Drosophila melanogaster: one gene and its partners. The protein of the gene in region 3 interacts with the protein of the main gene of each other region in a pairwise test. Each region holds a gene or a part of one and is shown on either strand. Other genes may lie near its edges.

Evidence for each region.
Region 1: the proteins of Cluap1 (region 3) and Cht2 interact in a two-hybrid assay, tested with the Drosophila melanogaster proteins (one large-scale study listed by BioGRID).
Region 2: the proteins of Cluap1 (region 3) and Bug22 interact in a two-hybrid assay, tested with the Drosophila melanogaster proteins (one large-scale study listed by BioGRID).
Region 4: the proteins of Cluap1 (region 3) and CG17778 interact in a two-hybrid assay, tested with the Drosophila melanogaster proteins (one large-scale study listed by BioGRID).

The regions. Positions count from the first base shown.
Region 1 is NT_037436.4:1,752,026-1,757,549, forward strand, and holds Cht2 (chitinase 2), read right to left. Parts: upstream 3,910-5,524; 5' UTR 3,562-3,909; intron 3,248-3,561; exon of another isoform or gene 2,336-3,247; 5' UTR 2,318-2,335; coding exon 2,212-2,317; intron 2,141-2,211; coding exon 1,976-2,140; intron 1,919-1,975; coding exon 1,413-1,918; intron 1,286-1,412; coding exon 608-1,285; 3' UTR 518-607; downstream 1-517. Other genes in the region: CG8001 (uncharacterized protein), read left to right, coding at 4,402-4,511, 4,587-5,178, 5,282-5,524.
Region 2 is NT_033779.5:10,429,371-10,432,552, forward strand, and holds Bug22 (basal body up regulated gene 22), read right to left. Parts: upstream 1,549-3,182; 5' UTR 1,345-1,548; coding exon 1,069-1,344; intron 1,013-1,068; coding exon 689-1,012; 3' UTR 550-688; downstream 1-549. Other genes in the region: CG5188 (uncharacterized protein), read left to right, coding at 1-289, 345-541; TfIIB (transcription factor IIB), read left to right, coding at 2,033-2,049, 2,107-2,518, 2,574-2,808, 2,872-3,155. UniProt on the Drosophila melanogaster protein: Cilium- and flagellum-specific protein that plays a role in axonemal structure organization and motility. Microtubule inner protein (MIP) part of the dynein-decorated doublet microtubules (DMTs) in cilia axoneme, which is required for motile cilia beating.
Region 3 is NC_004354.4:22,541,879-22,546,166, reverse strand, and holds Cluap1 (clusterin associated protein 1), read left to right. Parts: upstream 1-1,844; 5' UTR 1,845-1,943; coding exon 1,944-1,965; intron 1,966-2,031; coding exon 2,032-3,198; intron 3,199-3,255; coding exon 3,256-3,549; intron 3,550-3,607; coding exon 3,608-3,717; 3' UTR 3,718-3,781; downstream 3,782-4,288.
Region 4 is NC_004354.4:492,905-496,921, forward strand, and holds CG17778 (uncharacterized protein), read left to right. Parts: upstream 1-1,709; 5' UTR 1,710-1,812; intron 1,813-1,873; 5' UTR 1,874-2,165; coding exon 2,166-2,213; intron 2,214-2,564; coding exon 2,565-2,900; 3' UTR 2,901-3,465; downstream 3,466-4,017. Other genes in the region: CG17896 (uncharacterized protein), read right to left, coding at 484-513.

The DNA of each region.
Region 1 (5,524 bases), on a different chromosome or scaffold from region 3:
TTGTAATGTTTGCCATCCAAGAACGGAACTCTATTCTATTATATGTATGTCCTATCTCCCCAACTATCGAAAGTCCTCGGGGCTGCAAACCTTGCTTTAACTACTTTACGCGTATCCTTTGCATAGTTTACCTAGTACATATATTACTTATCACATATGGTAGCATTGAATTGAATGTTGACAACTTGTAGCAATGATAATCTATGGATATTATATACAAATTATGTTATATTTACCTGCGTATTTACATAGTTGCGTATACACACACCCATATACACATACAAATATATGACTAGTTAGTTAAATGTTAGAGCGCCAGTTAAATTTATTAAAGAGTACACCAAGTATAACCAAAATATTTTAACAAAAACTTCGGGTTCCTTTCTTTTTGGCTAAACCAAAGGGTAACTAAAAATTAGGATGGAAGCTACACATACATATGTATATATGTACCTTTAATGATATATTCTTACTCAAAGCGTTATGATCCCCAAGAATCGAAGGAAAACCAGGTTTTATCTTAAAAATACAATTTGGATTTTAATGACTACGTGAACAAGGTGATGTGTTTCTAAGACTATGGCTACCGGAGCACTCCCTCAATTTCTCACTGGGCCAACCGGTGCAGGAGCATGAAGACAGCGGTGACTCCGAGGCCCAGACTGACCATAGAAGCGCCGGCATTCTTGCGATCCGCTATGCTGCCGTGCGGAATCTCGTTCTCGGAGTCATCCGGCTGCGGCTCCGGCACAGCCAGCTCGTCCACGGCCAGCATGGTGGCCTCGTTGATGGTCCGCAGAAGGGGATAGTTCTGGCTCGATCTCTTGGGCGCGGCAGTCACCTTCTGGAAGTCCTCGTACGTGTCCTCGTCCAGCTTGCAGTTACCCAGGAAGTCGTCCGTGTCCACGGACCACACCATCACACCCGCAAGCCGCTTGGACATGGCGAACAACACCTTGTTGGCGATGGAGCGGGAGCTGTCGTAGGTCACCACGTTGATCTCCTGGGTGAAGACGTTTCGCTCGGACTTGGCCAGCACCTGGCTGGTTTGCGGATCCCACTCCCTTGTCCATCCGGAGGTCTGGTTGCTCAGTGTCTGGCAGATCTCGTTGTAGCCCAGGAAGCCGTCCTCCCGCGTGTAGGGTCCCTTGAAGCCTACGCCTTCGCTGACGTCGTTCAGGAATCCACTGGCCAACGTCTTGAAGGTGCGTCCGTAGAAGGGCAGGCCCATCACCAGCTTCTCCGGCGGGGCGCCCAGTTTCAGCAGGTAGTCAATGGAGAATTTCTGTAAAAGTAAAGGAAAAGAGTTAATGATATTCCTCTCTCTCTGCTTCCTGATTATCAATTTTACGTAATCTAGGGTATAGGGTATCGGGCATTTATTCCAGGAATTGGTACCCAGGTGCACTTACCACACTCAGCGGATCATCCGCGGGCGCCGTGAGCGGAGCATTGTAACCAACTCGGCGGTCCCAGCTGCCGTGGTAGTCGTAGCACATGATGTGCAGGTAGTCCAAGTAACGCGAGATCTGCCGCACGTCATAGGCCTCGTCGATCACCTTCTTGGAGGCTCCGATGGCGGAGGTCAGCAGCAGGCCGTGCTCGTCGAACTCCTCGCGCAGCTCCTTGGTCAGCAGAACGAAGTTCTCGCGATCCGCGGGCTTGCCCTTCCGCTGCGTGGGATACTCCCAGTCGAGATCCAGCCCGTCGAAGTTGTACTTGCGTATGAAACTGGACACCTGCTTGACGAACCTGCCGCGCAGCAGATTGTTGGCCACCAGGGTGGAGTAGTTGGCCGATCCCTCGTTCCAGCCGCCGATGGCCAGGCTGACCTTCAGATGCGGATGGCTGCGCTTCAGACCCGTCATTTTCTCGTAGCCACCCTTGCCGTACTCCTCCTTTAGGTCCTGCCAGGGATCTGCAATCAGCAATGTTTTAAATTTGCATATGGCCATAAATCGAACCGGAAACTCACCCAACGACTTGATGGCTGCCTGGGTGATGTCCAGGCCGGCAAAGGCGTACACCACATGGGTGCACAAATTGGGGTCGAAGTTCTCGATGGCATAGGCACCCTGCTCCGGCCGGTAAACAGCCCATGTGGAAACGTAGCAAACCACCACCTTGTCGTGCAGGGGTCCTGCGAATAGAAAACGTAGGACAATCAGCGGTGAGCCACCCCTTTGTGGTTAAGCCGAGCGTAAGACTCACCTGTCCTGGCGGCCACCGAAGCCCACAAGCTGCTCGCAGTGGAGGCCAGGAGGAGGAGCAGCCACAGCTGCGGTGCTTCCCCACTAAGTCTGCTCCTCAGCGTCATCTGTTGCGGATTGGTTTTCTGGTGAAGACGAACCGGAATCGAGAATGGAGAATGGAGAATGAAGAATCGAGTTAAGTGCTTTGCGTGCAACTTTGTTGTGACAATTTATAATTTCAATTCAGCTCAATTGGCGTCTTAATTGAACGGGAAAAGTGAAAGGCACAAGAAGCGACCCATGTAGTCAGAAAAGTGCCAGGCATTCCAAAGTCAATGTCTGGGTCTAAAAGGTAGCTGCAGTTTATTATTTATAGGTATTTGTTCACCTTTTGTGCATCAAACTAATCGTTAGTTGTTTGGGTTTATAATAATAATCGATTTGTATTCTAGAGGCTAAACAAACTACACTGCACCATTTGTTTTGCTAAACGAAACGTTAAAGTTTTTCAACATTTGTGGAAGAACTATGCATAGTGAGTCACACAGATCGTTTACTTCAGAAATCGAAATCAAGACGAATGTAATCAAAGAATCTGCTTTGTTCCCTCCAGTTCAAGTCATATTCGAGTGGGTAGTCCAACCTGATTCTCAACTTTCGCCAGTGCGACCTTAAGAAGCTGACCAGCGAATCTTGTTGCATCGTCCAGAACCGTGAATCATGCTGCCCGCAGCTCCAGAGCGTAACTTATTATCTTTTCGGAGGCGAAACAAGTTAGCCTTGATATCTCGGGTCTGATAACAATCGGCATGAATAGGCACTTAAGATTTGGTAATGTGGCGAGACCTGGAAAATAGGAAGTGCGCACCGAGGAATGGGCGGAAAACCAAGCTCAGAGCGGTTTCACTTTCCGCCTTTTTCCCCCAAACTTATGCATATTTATTTTTTTTATTGGATTTTGCTGCTCAGCTTGCCCCTGGCAAACCGGAATTCGCCGTTCATCACGAGATTAGAGGCGAGTCGAAAAAACGCGGGTACGAAATCGAAATCGAAAAGTAGAGGAAAAAATCCAGGCCGCGAACCCGAGAACAAACATCACTTGGGGCGGAGATGGGCTCTCAGATGGATTGCTGGCCATTTTCGCACTTGGCGGCTGCGCATGCGCAGCAGAGGAAGTGGGAAGCCACTTAACCAGCACACAGGCACACTCACAGACGAGCTAAGAAACCATCGGGTGACATAAAAACAAGTACATTCACTGTGCTCCCTGGTAAGTAGCTGCACATAGGGCACATATGTGGAACCGTCAACGTGCCCAGCGTATCGAGTTCATATCGCTGGCTCTCCGCACCATGTTTCATTTCATTACCCGATCTGGAGTTGTTTTTCCGCTTTAGCGACCACGAAACTCTTAGCACCGCCCTCGAAGCCAGCTCGCTTATAACTGAACTCGTCTCTCCGTCTTCGGTCTCATGCGTATATAATCGGCTCCGTCGCAGCTCTGTGGAGCCACTCAAGCCGAACCCGATCCACCGGCCCAACCACATGCCACTCTCAGCGAAGTCATCCAAGAGGCGAAATGCCAAGGTGTTGGAGCGGGGAAGTAGTCGTGCTCAGCATAAAGCCAACAGAGAAGAACAACGAACTAAAAAGGTTCGAAGAGATGGCTTGCTAAGTGTGAATACCATTGAAGAGACCTGCCATGCTTGTTGAAAATAAATATATTTATAACTATAATTTAAGAGTATACATTAAATATAGTATAATCAAATATGGGGGTGCAATTTCTTGCTTATTTGGATACTCTATATACGAGTTTCTCTAAGAAAAAGAGTTTCCAACTTCCCTACTAGAATCTAGAAAATGCACATCTACTATGCCTTGAGTTTGTTTTCTTCTTTCGTTTATATTGAAAGCAAGGCATTTCTACAGTTCACCAAGCCTCGTGTGGGAGGGAAGTCACTGATCGTATTTAAAGGCTGAAGCCACACATCTTAGGCGTAAGCAGGATTATACTCCATCCACAGACTTTCAAACTGGCCGATAAGTCGCGCCAAAGCTATCGGTCAATCGGGCTTTTGCGCGTGAGGCAAGTGCCATCTCTGCTAGTTGGACGTAAACAACGTAAAATCGGGAAATTAGGGAAAGTCCAGCGGGGCGGGAAAGAAGGCAGATTCTGATCTGAGATTGTAGACGTGCTCCACCGGCGATGGACGTGGAGGATTCCGTGGCGAGCGGAGCGGCATCCGCCTGCAAGCGCCAAAAGCGAAACACAGATTCCCAGAACGATGGCGAGCCTGAAGACGCGGCGCAGATTGGGTAAGTGTTGTGTCTTGGGTTGAGCATGCTCTGCGGCTTGGATAATCCATTGATTTTTCGCCCGTGGGGAACCAGTGAGGAGAACACTGTCGCCGAAAGCCAGCCTTTAATTAACTTCGACACAATTGTCACTCACAACAATAACGGAGAGAGCGATATGGAGGGCAAGGAAAACCAGCTCCAGGATGAGAGCGAGCAGTCCGAGGAGCATCTTGCTAATAAAGTTGGACCTGAGGAGCTGCCGGAAATAGAACAGGCAGGCTCCTCCAATTTAGCGCATCAATTATCCCCGGAAGCAGCCTCCACCGTGCTGGCTTCTGATGAGCCAGATGCTTCCACCGGTGTCATCGAGCCTAGCGACAGCGAAGACTATCCACCTACTTCACCGACGCCAATTGAAGCTTCCGAAGCGGTCAGTTCACCCCGCTTCAATCCACGCAACATACCACCCACGCGCTCCTATCGCCGTATCAGCATAGAGCTAGTGGGCTCCTACTCGGACACAAGCGATTCAGAAGAACATGAGCTGGAGGAGGGGACCGAGCACGCAGAAGAGTACAGCGATGATGCGCCTGAACCGCATATAGCCGAGTCCGCTGACGACAGTTCCTCCAACGACGACATGGGACCCTATTCTCTTTCCAGTGAAGATGAAACAACCACAGAGGTAAGTTGTTAAGCCTTAAGTGATGGTAAGAAGGGTAGATCATGAGGTTACAAAATTAAGCTTTTAGGGATAAGTTGAGCTTCTTATAAATCCTTGCTAACAGGTTGAGAACTTGCAGGACGAGGTGGAGTTTAACGAGGACATCAACCCCGCTGACCGCGAGAAAGTAGACTACGCCGTTAATCAGGTGATGTGCAAGTGCAAGCCCAAATACACTTGGAACTACGATCAGGAGCTGTTGCAAAGGGAGCACAACATAATCAACCGGATTGACTGGCGTGGCGGCCACACTTCGGCCTCTAGCTTCGGCCAGGGCTACTACGGTTCCCGCCAAGTTGTGGAACAA
Region 2 (3,182 bases), on a different chromosome or scaffold from region 3:
GGGGATATTATAAATATTGATGTCACAGTCTTTTTGAACGGCTACCATGGCGACTGTTCGGAAACATTTCGGGTGGGCAACGTGGACGAACGGGGTGGCTTTCTCGTGGAGGCCACTAAATCCTGTTTGGATCAGTGCATTTCGCTGTGCGGCCCCGGTGTGGAATTCAATGAGATTGGAAAGTTCATAGACAGATATTGCGACGAACATGATCTGGCATCGATAGCTGCTTTCATTGGACATGGAATCGGTAGCTATTTCCACGGCCCCCCGGAGATACTACACTATTGTAAGTAAGACTGTTTAAGAGACTCCTCCATTGCTAATCAAACTGCACATCGTAGATAATGAGATTCCTGGAAAGATGCAGCCCGGCATGACCTTCACCATTGAACCCATTCTGTCCCTGGGCGGAGCAGAAATAGCAGTGCTGCAAGATGGCTGGACGGCCATTAGTTTGGATGGCGCACGTAGCGCCCAGTTCGAGCACACCATTCTGATAACCGAGACGGGAACGGAGATACTTACAAGAGATCAATAGAATTTTATGTACATGATGCAATTTTTATTCGTGATTCCCATAAAGTGTTGAATGAGTGCTGGATGGCAGTCTTGTGCATTTTGTGCCGTTTTAATCGTCGACTCCGTCTGGTTAGGTGCTCTAATTGATTGATGATGCATACAGAATTTAGCTACAAATCGCATTGGACTTCTGCACCGGCTTCTGAATGGGAAGGAAGAGCTTAAACTCCGGCGGCAGCTCGTCCTCCGAGTAGAGACGATCGGAGAAGTAGACGCGTCTGATGCGGCAATTTGCATGAATCTGTACACGGAGTGTCTCCACATAATTGGTGCCGTATGCGCGACGCGTGAAGTCGGACAGGTTGAACTGGATCTGGTTCCATCCCTCGTCCAATCGCATGGGCATGGTGCAAATGAAAGGCTTGACACGAGTTGTCGACTGGTAGTTACTGGCCCTAAACCTTCGCCGCACGTTCTTGTCATCGAGAACCTGATTAGGGGCGGAAATCATGGAGTTACTGTCTTATGCAAGATGACGAAGCTTACCTGAACCTCGAAGGTGAAGTACTTCTTCATGTTCTTGATGATCATCACCAGGAAGGGCAGCTTGATGCCCAGCGTCTTCTTCGGATCTGCCGGACATGTTATGAACGTGGTGCTGACATTGGTGCCGACTATTTCCAACACGAGGCTTTGTATGTCGTTGTCGGTGATCCGCTTGATGTGTCCATTGCGCACCTTCTTATCCCACAGCTGCAGTGGCTTTGAGCCAATACTGTACAGAATTGATAGGAATCCCGATTGGAAAGTGTTTTTGAACATTTCGCGACTGCTGTGCAGTGACCGGTTCGCCCCACGGAGAGTATAGTCTCTTCGAAATTTATATAGGGCCAGTTAAGGTTGGCCGTAAATTTTTCGCACAGCCGAAACTCGTACAAACTACGAACATCAATGCGGAACTTGATTATTTTCTCATGTCAATGAGTTTGTTTAGCACGGCATCCTGTTGTTGCCATAACAATAAGCGAGCAGGGTTGCCACGTTTCCAAATGCTTGAACATGCTCGCATGTTTATGTGGGGTGCGAAATTGCGAAGTTGAAGGCCTGTCTCGCTTATGGAACGGTGAAAAAGAAACAGCTTAAAAAATAAATAATAACATGCGTTAATTTGGAATTGGCTAGACAAAAAACATCTATTATTGTTAAAAATTTTTATTTATGAATTAATAACTTTTAATCAAGTTAAAATGGTGCTTATTATTAACAGCATGGAAACTTAAAATATAGAACATTAATTGTGAAAGTAAAACAGATTGCTAAAATGCTAAAGGTGGTTAAGTTATTATTAACAGCAAGAAAACTTAAAATACAGAAAAATAATTATTAAAGTTGACTTTCCCATATTCCGATTTCTGTGAAGCAAAAACCTAAGCAGCTATCGAGTTATCGGGCAAAGTCACATCACCAGTTGATGTGAGTATTAAAAAAATATATAGCTTACAGAGTACAAATGGCATCGACATCGAGGTAAAAGTCGGGTTTCCTAACAATTTGTGAACACCAATAATGGCTTACTGCTTGCAGACTGGACAACAACAAGGTGTGCTGCTACGCACACCCCGAATCTCCGCTCATCGAGGACTACAGGGCTGGCGATATGATTTGCTCCGAGTGTGGTCTGGTGGTTGGGGACCGCGTAATTGATGTGGGCTCCGAGTGGCGTACCTTTAGCAACGAGAAGAGCGGCGTGGATCCCAGTCGTGTCGGTGGACCGGAGAATCCGCTGCTCAGTGGCGGCGACTTGTCCACCATAATTGGTCCGGGCACAGGATCCGCATCCTTTGACGCCTTTGGAGCACCCAAGTACCAAAACAGACGCACCATGAGCAGCTCGGATCGCTCCCTCATATCAGCCTTTAAGGAGATATCCTCGATGGCCGATCGCATTAACTTGCCCAAAACCATTGTCGATCGGGCCAACAACTTGTTCAAACAGGTGAAATTCGAGTTCGCGGTTGATTTGGTTGAGACCTCATGCCGTTTTCTTGTAGGTTCATGATGGAAAGAACCTCAAGGGTCGTTCCAACGATGCCAAGGCATCCGCTTGTCTGTATATAGCTTGTCGCCAAGAAGGAGTTCCTCGCACATTCAAGGAAATATGTGCTGTCAGCAAGATCAGCAAAAAAGAGATTGGCCGTTGCTTTAAGCTAACATTGAAGGCTCTCGAGACAAGTGTGGATCTCATAACCACTGCGGACTTCATGTGCCGCTTCTGCGCCAACTTGGGTAAGTGTTTTTACACTTTCTGTACTTGAAGGTAGCAGGATTAATACCTATAATTCTTATCAGACCTGCCGAACATGGTCCAACGCGCTGCCACGCACATTGCAAAGAAAGCCGTCGAGATGGATATTGTACCGGGACGTTCGCCAATTTCTGTGGCCGCAGCCGCAATCTATATGGCCTCACAAGCATCCGAGCATAAGAGAAGCCAGAAGGAAATCGGTGATATAGCCGGTGTGGCCGACGTCACCATCAGACAGTCCTACAAACTTATGTATCCGCACGCAGCTAAGCTTTTCCCCGAGGACTTTAAGTTTACCACTCCCATTGATCAGTTACCACAGATGTAATTCTTTTCGTAGATCCGATGCTCAATA
Region 3 (4,288 bases):
CGGTATGATATCGATGCGAATAGAAGAGAAAAAAAGTTTGAAAATGCACGCAATAAGCAAAGCACGCGAAGTTTGTGAAAGCAATTGTAATTTCATAATGTTACTCAATTTTTGAGTACAAGGCCTCCAGCTACTGATCGGGTTTAAAATACATTTGTGTGCGCTATAAAATACAAAAAACAAAAACAGTTTGAGCACAACCCCTCAATTATTTAACTATCTGATACCCTAGTATCAGAATATGCGTAGCAAGACAAGGGAGAACGCTATGAATGAGTTCTCCGACTATCAGAAGATACACGTTAGTGGTTGGTTGGTTTTGGTATGTATTTATTCCTTATGCACCAAGACTATTACTTAGTAAAATCCGTATTCCCCATATTAAGCAAAACAAGAGTGTATGATATAATCGAGTTCCCCGACTATTAGATACTCATCGTTACTCAGCTAGTGGAAATGCGAATGGGAAATTTCATAATTTTTCTCGGATATCGATAGATATTGGGAAATAATATAATATTGGCAATTTAAAAGACTAATAATAATATGAAAAAGTATTAAAACATTTAGCAAACGTGTGGGCGTGACAGTTCTAGGCAGTTTGTGGGCGTTAGACTGGGCTTGGGAACATGGGCAACTGCACTGCGTCTACGTCTTTAGAATCTGTATGCTTCTTAACTTTCTTTTACCTTCTAGCTTTTATTGAAAAATAGATAGATTTCTGAGATCTCGACGTTCATACGGATGTCCGGCCGAACATGGATATATTGTATATTAGGAATATATATACAATATATGGTCGGAAACGCTTCCTTCTACCTGTTTCATAAGAATATTACTAAAAGGATATAACAAATTTAGTGCCGCTTTTAGGCATTTTGAATGTGCGCTTGTATGATTGAAACAGGGTTCATTCGACTTTTTAAATAAATAGAGTTTTATTTGGTTTTCATATCCATTAATTGTATAAAAACTAAAAAATTAGAAAATATAAATTCTTGATGAGGATCACAAGCGGAATCTTCCATCTGTCGATCAATATTAACTATAAGCTATATATGTACATATGTATATATGTATATACACTGTAAAAGCTAATGTGACACACACACAGCTCTAGTGTGTTTCAGAACGTCGTCTTGCCCACTATAACGCCCGCAAACTTCCCAAAATATCACACCATCGATAACCCAACAGAGTGTTGAATCTGTGCAATGATAAGTAAATTACAAGAACAATAAAGGATATATAGAAAAACTGAAATTTATGTGCCCAACAGGTCAATTTCAGTTGAGATAGTGGCGCCCTCTGTCGGGTATGCTTAATTTGTAAAAATCCCAATTATCGTATTTCAATAATTCGTTCTTAGCAACTCCTACATTTTTAATGGAATGGAAACCGCGCAACCGTTTCCCAGGTGAACCCCGTGCGACCGTCCACAGCAATCGAATGAATATTAGCCAAGGATAGCAGGGGGACACTGCGAGAAATTTCATATGGCAAGTGATAGTAACCTGTATTTGTTTAAGTATTAAAATAAAAAAACTAAAACCTATTTAAGTTAAAATTAATTTTATTTCGCTTTTATTTTCAGTTTCATGTATTGCTGTTTTTGAGAAATTTAGTACATATATCTTAATTCCTATTTTATGTAATATTTTCTTATTAAAATTCCGTTTAAAATTACCAACATTGTTGTTGACAATAATCTTAGTTTAATATTAATAATATATTTTAGAAATGGATCAATGTTTAGAGTTCGTTATCATATTTTCTCGCTATGCATTTTCCGTTACCTAGCAACCATCAATTTGGGATTCGGTGGCCCAAACAAAAGCTCCAACGACCACAACAAATGACGGTGTTGAAAATGCAATTGCCAGCGCAGCCGCAGCGATTGCAAGCAGCCAAAGAAAAACAGGTGAACTCGTTGGAAGCCAGGAATGTCCTTCAAGGATGTGCGAGGTGCGTACTGACTTCCTCCTCTTACTTCCTCCACCTAACACGACCAGACTGATACTCCACTTCCAGATCTGGGGGAACATCTTAAGCTGTTGGGGTTCCCGCGCGTGTTTCCCCTCCAATCCCTGGCCAATCAGCATGGCAGCCTGGCCAGTTTCCACATTGTTGCCGAGCTCCTTCAATGGCTAGCAGGACTAATAGAGCCAGGAGCCACTTTGCCCGGCGGCGTTGAATCGGAGGAGCAGCGGGTTCTTCTCGTCCGTTCGGCGACCGAGTTTTTTGTGACCAAGGCAGCCATTCGTATTAATCCCCGAAAACTGTATGCAGCCGCTGCGGTTACGGCGGCAGAGCTACAGAAGGTTACCCGACTCTTGACATCCCCAGGACAAAACGAAGCGGACAACGACGAAGAGGACCAAAGGGACCAGTACCGGAGCCTAAATCCCGTGGATATTGGCGATAAAATAGAGGAGTTGCGTAAGGCTCGAGAACTGGCCACAGACCTAACCCAGCGTGGCACAACCATATGCGAGATGCTTTCGAAGGAACTGCTCCACAAGGAATCGCTAATGTCCCAGGCCCAACGACCCCTGGAGCTGCTCAGCGTGGAGCGGACCCTGAAGAGCGCCATCCAAGCTAACCAAGTTCGCCTCCAATCGAGTAGAGCCCAACTGGAAGCAGCCAAGGTGGAGCTCAATGCTCTGGGATCAAAGCTGCAGCGCCGTCGGGCGGAGCTCGAGCGAACCCGCCAAAGACTGGAGGCACTGCATCGCATTCGACCAGCGCACATGGCCGAATTCGAGGACTGTGAGAAGGAGTTGCAGGAGCTATTCCAGCGCTACTTTCTCAGGCTGCATGTGCGCGATGCTCTAAAGTCCCAGCTGGACCTGCGTACTAAACGTGCCACACCTATCTCCTCACCCATTCTGCAAAAGCCCGCCGAGAACTCAATGCCCTTCATCCCGGAGGGACTCATCGAGGACGACGATGACGACGACGACGAGGACGATCTGGATGACGAGGATGAGGGCGATGATGGCGGCAAAGCACTTTCCCGTCTCGAAATGGTGGTCAATGGCAGGAGTGTCTTCGGCCTGGACTCAGAGATACCCGACATACGGGACGAGGACAAACTAATGCAACAAAACAACATGGTTTCCGCCCAGGGAAAACGTCCTGGTACCGCCACCTCCAGGATTAGACCCACAACGGGTAGAAGCAGGAAGGCAGTAGGAGGTAAGGAAGTTCTAATTTCACAAACTTATTTCCCTGCTCAAATAACGAAAATCCCAGGAAGAGGCACAGCCGGCCCGGATGGTGGTAATGATGCCAGGGCAGCCCGCGGCACCAGGAGAGGTGTTGCGACTGGAGGAGACGCCGATGGCACCCAGCTAAACGGCCGCAACGGACCCGGCAGCAGTATGCTCAACTCCCGGGACGAAGACAGCAGCTTCGGGAGCTCCGAAAGCGAACTGGATGTGGGTAAAATCATGGGCATGAGCGGAATGAGCGGAATGAGTGGCATGAGCGCTATCAGCGGGATAAGTGGGATGAGCAATATTGCCTTGGGAGCCGGCGATGATGATTGTAAGTCGTGTAGTTACGCCTTGAACTTATAACAAAACTTTACCTCATTCACCCCTAGTTGATCTGAACTCGATCGATGACATAAGCATTTCAAAGTTAACTGGCGAACTGCCACTTAGACCGAAGACCGCCAATAAAGCGGAGCATCACAGCGATGAGGATTTCTAGGGATAACTACAATATTTATATTTATTTGCTAATTTTATAAACTCAGCCAGAGGGCAGACAGGTTGTAAAAAGTAAATAAAATATTCCCATCAAGCAATTAAAAGATTTCTTTCCACGTCACAATCAAATACGTCACCGTCTCGCAAATAGACGGCCTTAGGGTTCCGGTTCCTGCAGTAACACGAATTGTCTGGCGATATGGTGACTAGTATGATGAGCAATCAAAGTGTAGTCAAAGATGGATTTCTGCATGTACATAGGTAAGTGGGACTGTGCAAGTCAAAGCATAGCCAGGATCCCTAACTAAGTACATCGTTATCTGTATGACTTTAGCTAATCTATTCCTCCAAGAAGCGAGATATAAATTAAATTTGCTTTTGTAGATACGTTATAATCAGTTAATTCAATGCTCGAATAATTGAAATAGTTTGCTTAATATATCTTTATTCGATTAATTTTAATGTGTCTTAAGAGCTATACGCATATGTAAGTACATTGATAGAGTAATGGATATAAAAGGGGTAATTTATCAGACAAAGCCCCACATAGATGGGATTTCGTTGTGGCTCCG
Region 4 (4,017 bases), about 22 Mb from region 3:
TCCATCTGGCAAATTCGAGATTTTCATGGCGCGCCTGTCGTGGAAAGGTACCGCTTATCGCGTTTTATTGGATTTAACGTCAACTCAAACATTGTACCGCTAAATTCCCCGCGAATTCGCCTTGTGCGCTTTATCTGCTTAATATTCTGGTTCTAGTTCTACTTCTTCCGCTTCGCAGCGACGTATTGCGTAACATGTGTTGTTTTCAACTGCCCGTTCGCCGCTCACACCCGTGGGCCATTCCAATCACTAGAGTGGGTGGAGTGTGAGATGGGCGCCGAAAGTGCATACATTACATGCCCAAGGCCAATCGCATCGCCAATTACCGAATTCACGGCCACACCAGTGTCAGAGAGAACGAGAGAGAGCGCCAAAACGATCCAAATGCTGATGGATGGATGCACGTATGTATGTATGTCAGGGTGAGGATGGCAGCCTAGCATGCCTATAGGACATACACCCACCCACCAATTGGAAACTCACCTCTGCTCCGATCAATCGCACTAGGGACATCTTGGGGATACGGAGATGAGAATTTGGTGCGGGGATCGGATCGCGTGCTCTCCGAACGGTGGCTACACTGAAACTGAACGCAGCGCAGCCGCCCATTTCTGATGCCAGTTATTCTCCACTGTTCTCTACACATATACATGAATGGAAATATATATGTACATATATCTGTATAGGTTTGAGGTAATGTATGGTGGTGTGGTGTGGTATTGGCATGGTGTGGCGATTGTTGATATACGAAGGCGAAGGCGAAGACCACGTCAAAAAGTGCTTTACATTAGCAAGTGGTTATAGTTTGATGCTCACACACACGTGTACACGCACATATGTATGTAACTTGCTACCGCACACACCGTTAGGAACCGGGGGCACAGCTGTTGTTTTTGTGTTGCTCTGTTTTCGCAATTGTTGCTGTTGCTGTTTTTTGGGGGCTCGTTGTGAGTATGTGTGTGTGAGTGTAGTGCTTGCTTTGCGGTGTTTGCGTTCTTGTCAATTCCCTGCTGGAAGGGAATGTTAGCTATGGTGACGGCAGTGTAGTATTGTAGTACCCAAATGCATACTCTATGGTTAATCAATTTTATGGTAATCAAGCCAGTTTATGTGTTCCAGTTAGATTGTAACAACTTTTTAAGTGTACAACAGTGGAAGTGTATTGGATCTTCGATGCTAGACATGCTGAACTGGCTTAGGGTATTTATAAACACCGGCGGATCCAATGTAGTATATTTGTGTTTTTCCATCAACGTATGTACATATGTACATATGTACGTATGGACACATGTACATATGAACTTAAACGAAATGTAATCAAATATTAATACTAGTGCTTAACCGAGGATGGAAAAAATAATCAATTAGGTGATAAGTGCTTCCTAGCTGAACAGATAAATCCTAAAAATGTTTCCTGGAACGCAGTGTGGACAGAAGCAGGCTGGCGCATTTTTCACTTTCTGAATGAAAATTTGTCTGCCTGCTTTTAGGCTTTTGGTCTATTAAAATAGCAAGTTCGCTTTCATCATCGGGCAGGGTAAGCTTTTGCTAGCAGCCCCGCTTCCTGGTCAACATAATCAAAAGGACTAGCCTGCACCGGGAAAACAAAATCCATGGAAATAGATGCAACACAAATGAAAGGCTTTCTCTTTTTTAAAGAAAGTGGTTTGCTTTGTCTCTCAATGGGACAATAGTAGCTCCTTTCTGCTCTTCAGTGATGCCCACCGGTAGTTGAATCAAGGAATTACAAAAAAAAAGTTCTGTCATTTGAAATCCATAACGTTTACAAAAAATCCATTGGCTTCGAAAAGTGTAAGCATATACTAAAAAGAATTCGATTAAATATAGCATATTTTTATACGTTGTTTTTAAGCAAGCTAAAGAAGTACCAGCACTGCCACTCGCTCTTTCTCTCGCTCCCTCTCTTGCTGCGGAATGCGGAAGTCAACTTGTGTGCAGGAGCATATAAATAGTGGGACCAATCGCAGGACTCGCTCACTCTGCTCGGAGAGCTTGGACTGGACTGTCAGCGCTCCGGACGACGCGCCTTAAGTTAGGCAAAAACAATTTTGTTATTTGCCGCAGTATGGACTTGCTGCGCTGACTTACTACTTACTGTCATGCCAAGAGGCTGAGGTCGAGAGGCAGCTTGGGATCTGGAAAAGATGGAGGCCACGCCGGGCTACCAGGACATCAGCGCTCTGGAAAAATCGGTGAGCTTATCGACCAGGCAAACAGAAATAGCCACTTATTCATTCAGAAGTATAGGCACTCAGAGTGTAGTGAGAGAAATTAGGGACACTCCATGGCGGTCTATTACAATCATAAGCCACATTGTCAGTTGGTGCCGAAATATGAGTATTTAAGATCTTTGTCCAAAGTACCTAAATGTAGACTGTTAATCCAAGTTTATCGAACTTAATTTAAGATGTTGTTATCAGGATTTGATCATAAGTTCTCCTGGGAATATCTTTTCAATGCTTCCCTAAGCTGAAGAGAGAACGGAAGCGGCCAAAATTCAATTACTTAATCCATAGGTAACCTACATTTCCCTCTGCTTCAAGGTGGCCAATGCAGGATCGCAGCTGTACACGATGGCCCACAAACTGCACGCGGTGGAGCGCAGCCTCGAACAGACGACGATGGAGCAGATGGACGAGATGGAGGTCCTCGAGTTGCTCGAGTCGATGAGCGAGGTGACCAACGAGTACCAGAATCTGCGCAAGGACATTCGCGAGGTGCAGCAGTTGCAGCGTGACGTCAGCAGCTCCATACGGTACCAAATGCGCAGCATGCAGCAGACTTTTCACACTCTAAAACAGCGGATAGCTAGCTCCCAGAAGGGTCGCAAAAAGCCCGAGAAAGGGCTCGATGGAGCAGGGGTTGGTATTCATGAATAATCAATGACCCTATTGATTGGCCTCCCTGGCGAATAGGTGCGGTAAATGTGTCAATGGGGACGCAAATGTAGGGACTAAATTGGCACCAATCTGAAGCAATCAACTGTGTAACTATATATCGCAAGCCCACTCCAAGCATTTAGACTCGGAAAAAAATCCTATACTTTATATACATGTATACACATTAAGAAAACCACACCCATTGTATGCGAATTAAGGTTTTTTTTTGGTGTTTTATTCCAGTGATAGGCAGGAATAACGAAAACTCACTGCTCTAAGAACACAAAAACACAATGCTTAACACAGAGTAAACAACATTTACGATGATATGCGTTCTTTAGGACGAACCGGAATGTCTGAATGCACTTTTCCAAATTTTGCCTTAACATAATAGTATTTTGAGGTAGTTTTTGATACGACACGTTTTAAAAGATAATATATAACAGACCGTACATATTTAGGCCACACACAATGGTTATTCTTGTGTTAGTTTCATTTTTGGAGATTTATTTGTTGAGCTCTAGAGAAAATAAAAGTTAGTTAAACCTCGGGAGACGAGGAACGCATATATTTAAATCTGGCGCCATCCGGTTGTCAACAACAACCTTCTGGCAACTCCTCTAAGTCGCATCTGGCAATGTCATCTGATCGCAGCCGAGTGGCAACAGTGGTCGCTGCTGCGTTCGCGTACTTTCGTGACTTCATTTGCGATTTTATTTATATTCTCCGTGTTGCGAATAAAATGTATGTATCATGGCAGTTGTTTAAGAAGCGAATATACGCTGATTCATCCTAGGCTGGCGAGAAGATCATTGCGAAAAAAGTGTACGAAAAGAAAGTGCAATAACTGCAGCTCTATTGTGCGCGCATCTGGGTGTGCGTAGATCTTTGCATCGGTGTGTCGGTGTTTTTTTACGTTTGTGTGCGTGGCGTGCCCACATTTGTGGCACAAGTTTAAAAATTGGCACTAAGAAAGTTCAAGAAAGTGGTTCTGGGGAAAATAGTTCATTCATTCAGCATCCACTTTCTGTTGAAAGTGGCGCGCCTGCGTTTTGTGTCTTAATCATCGCATTGCTGCCTGCCTACGTGTACAGAAACTGCGAGCGCTCCGGGAGAG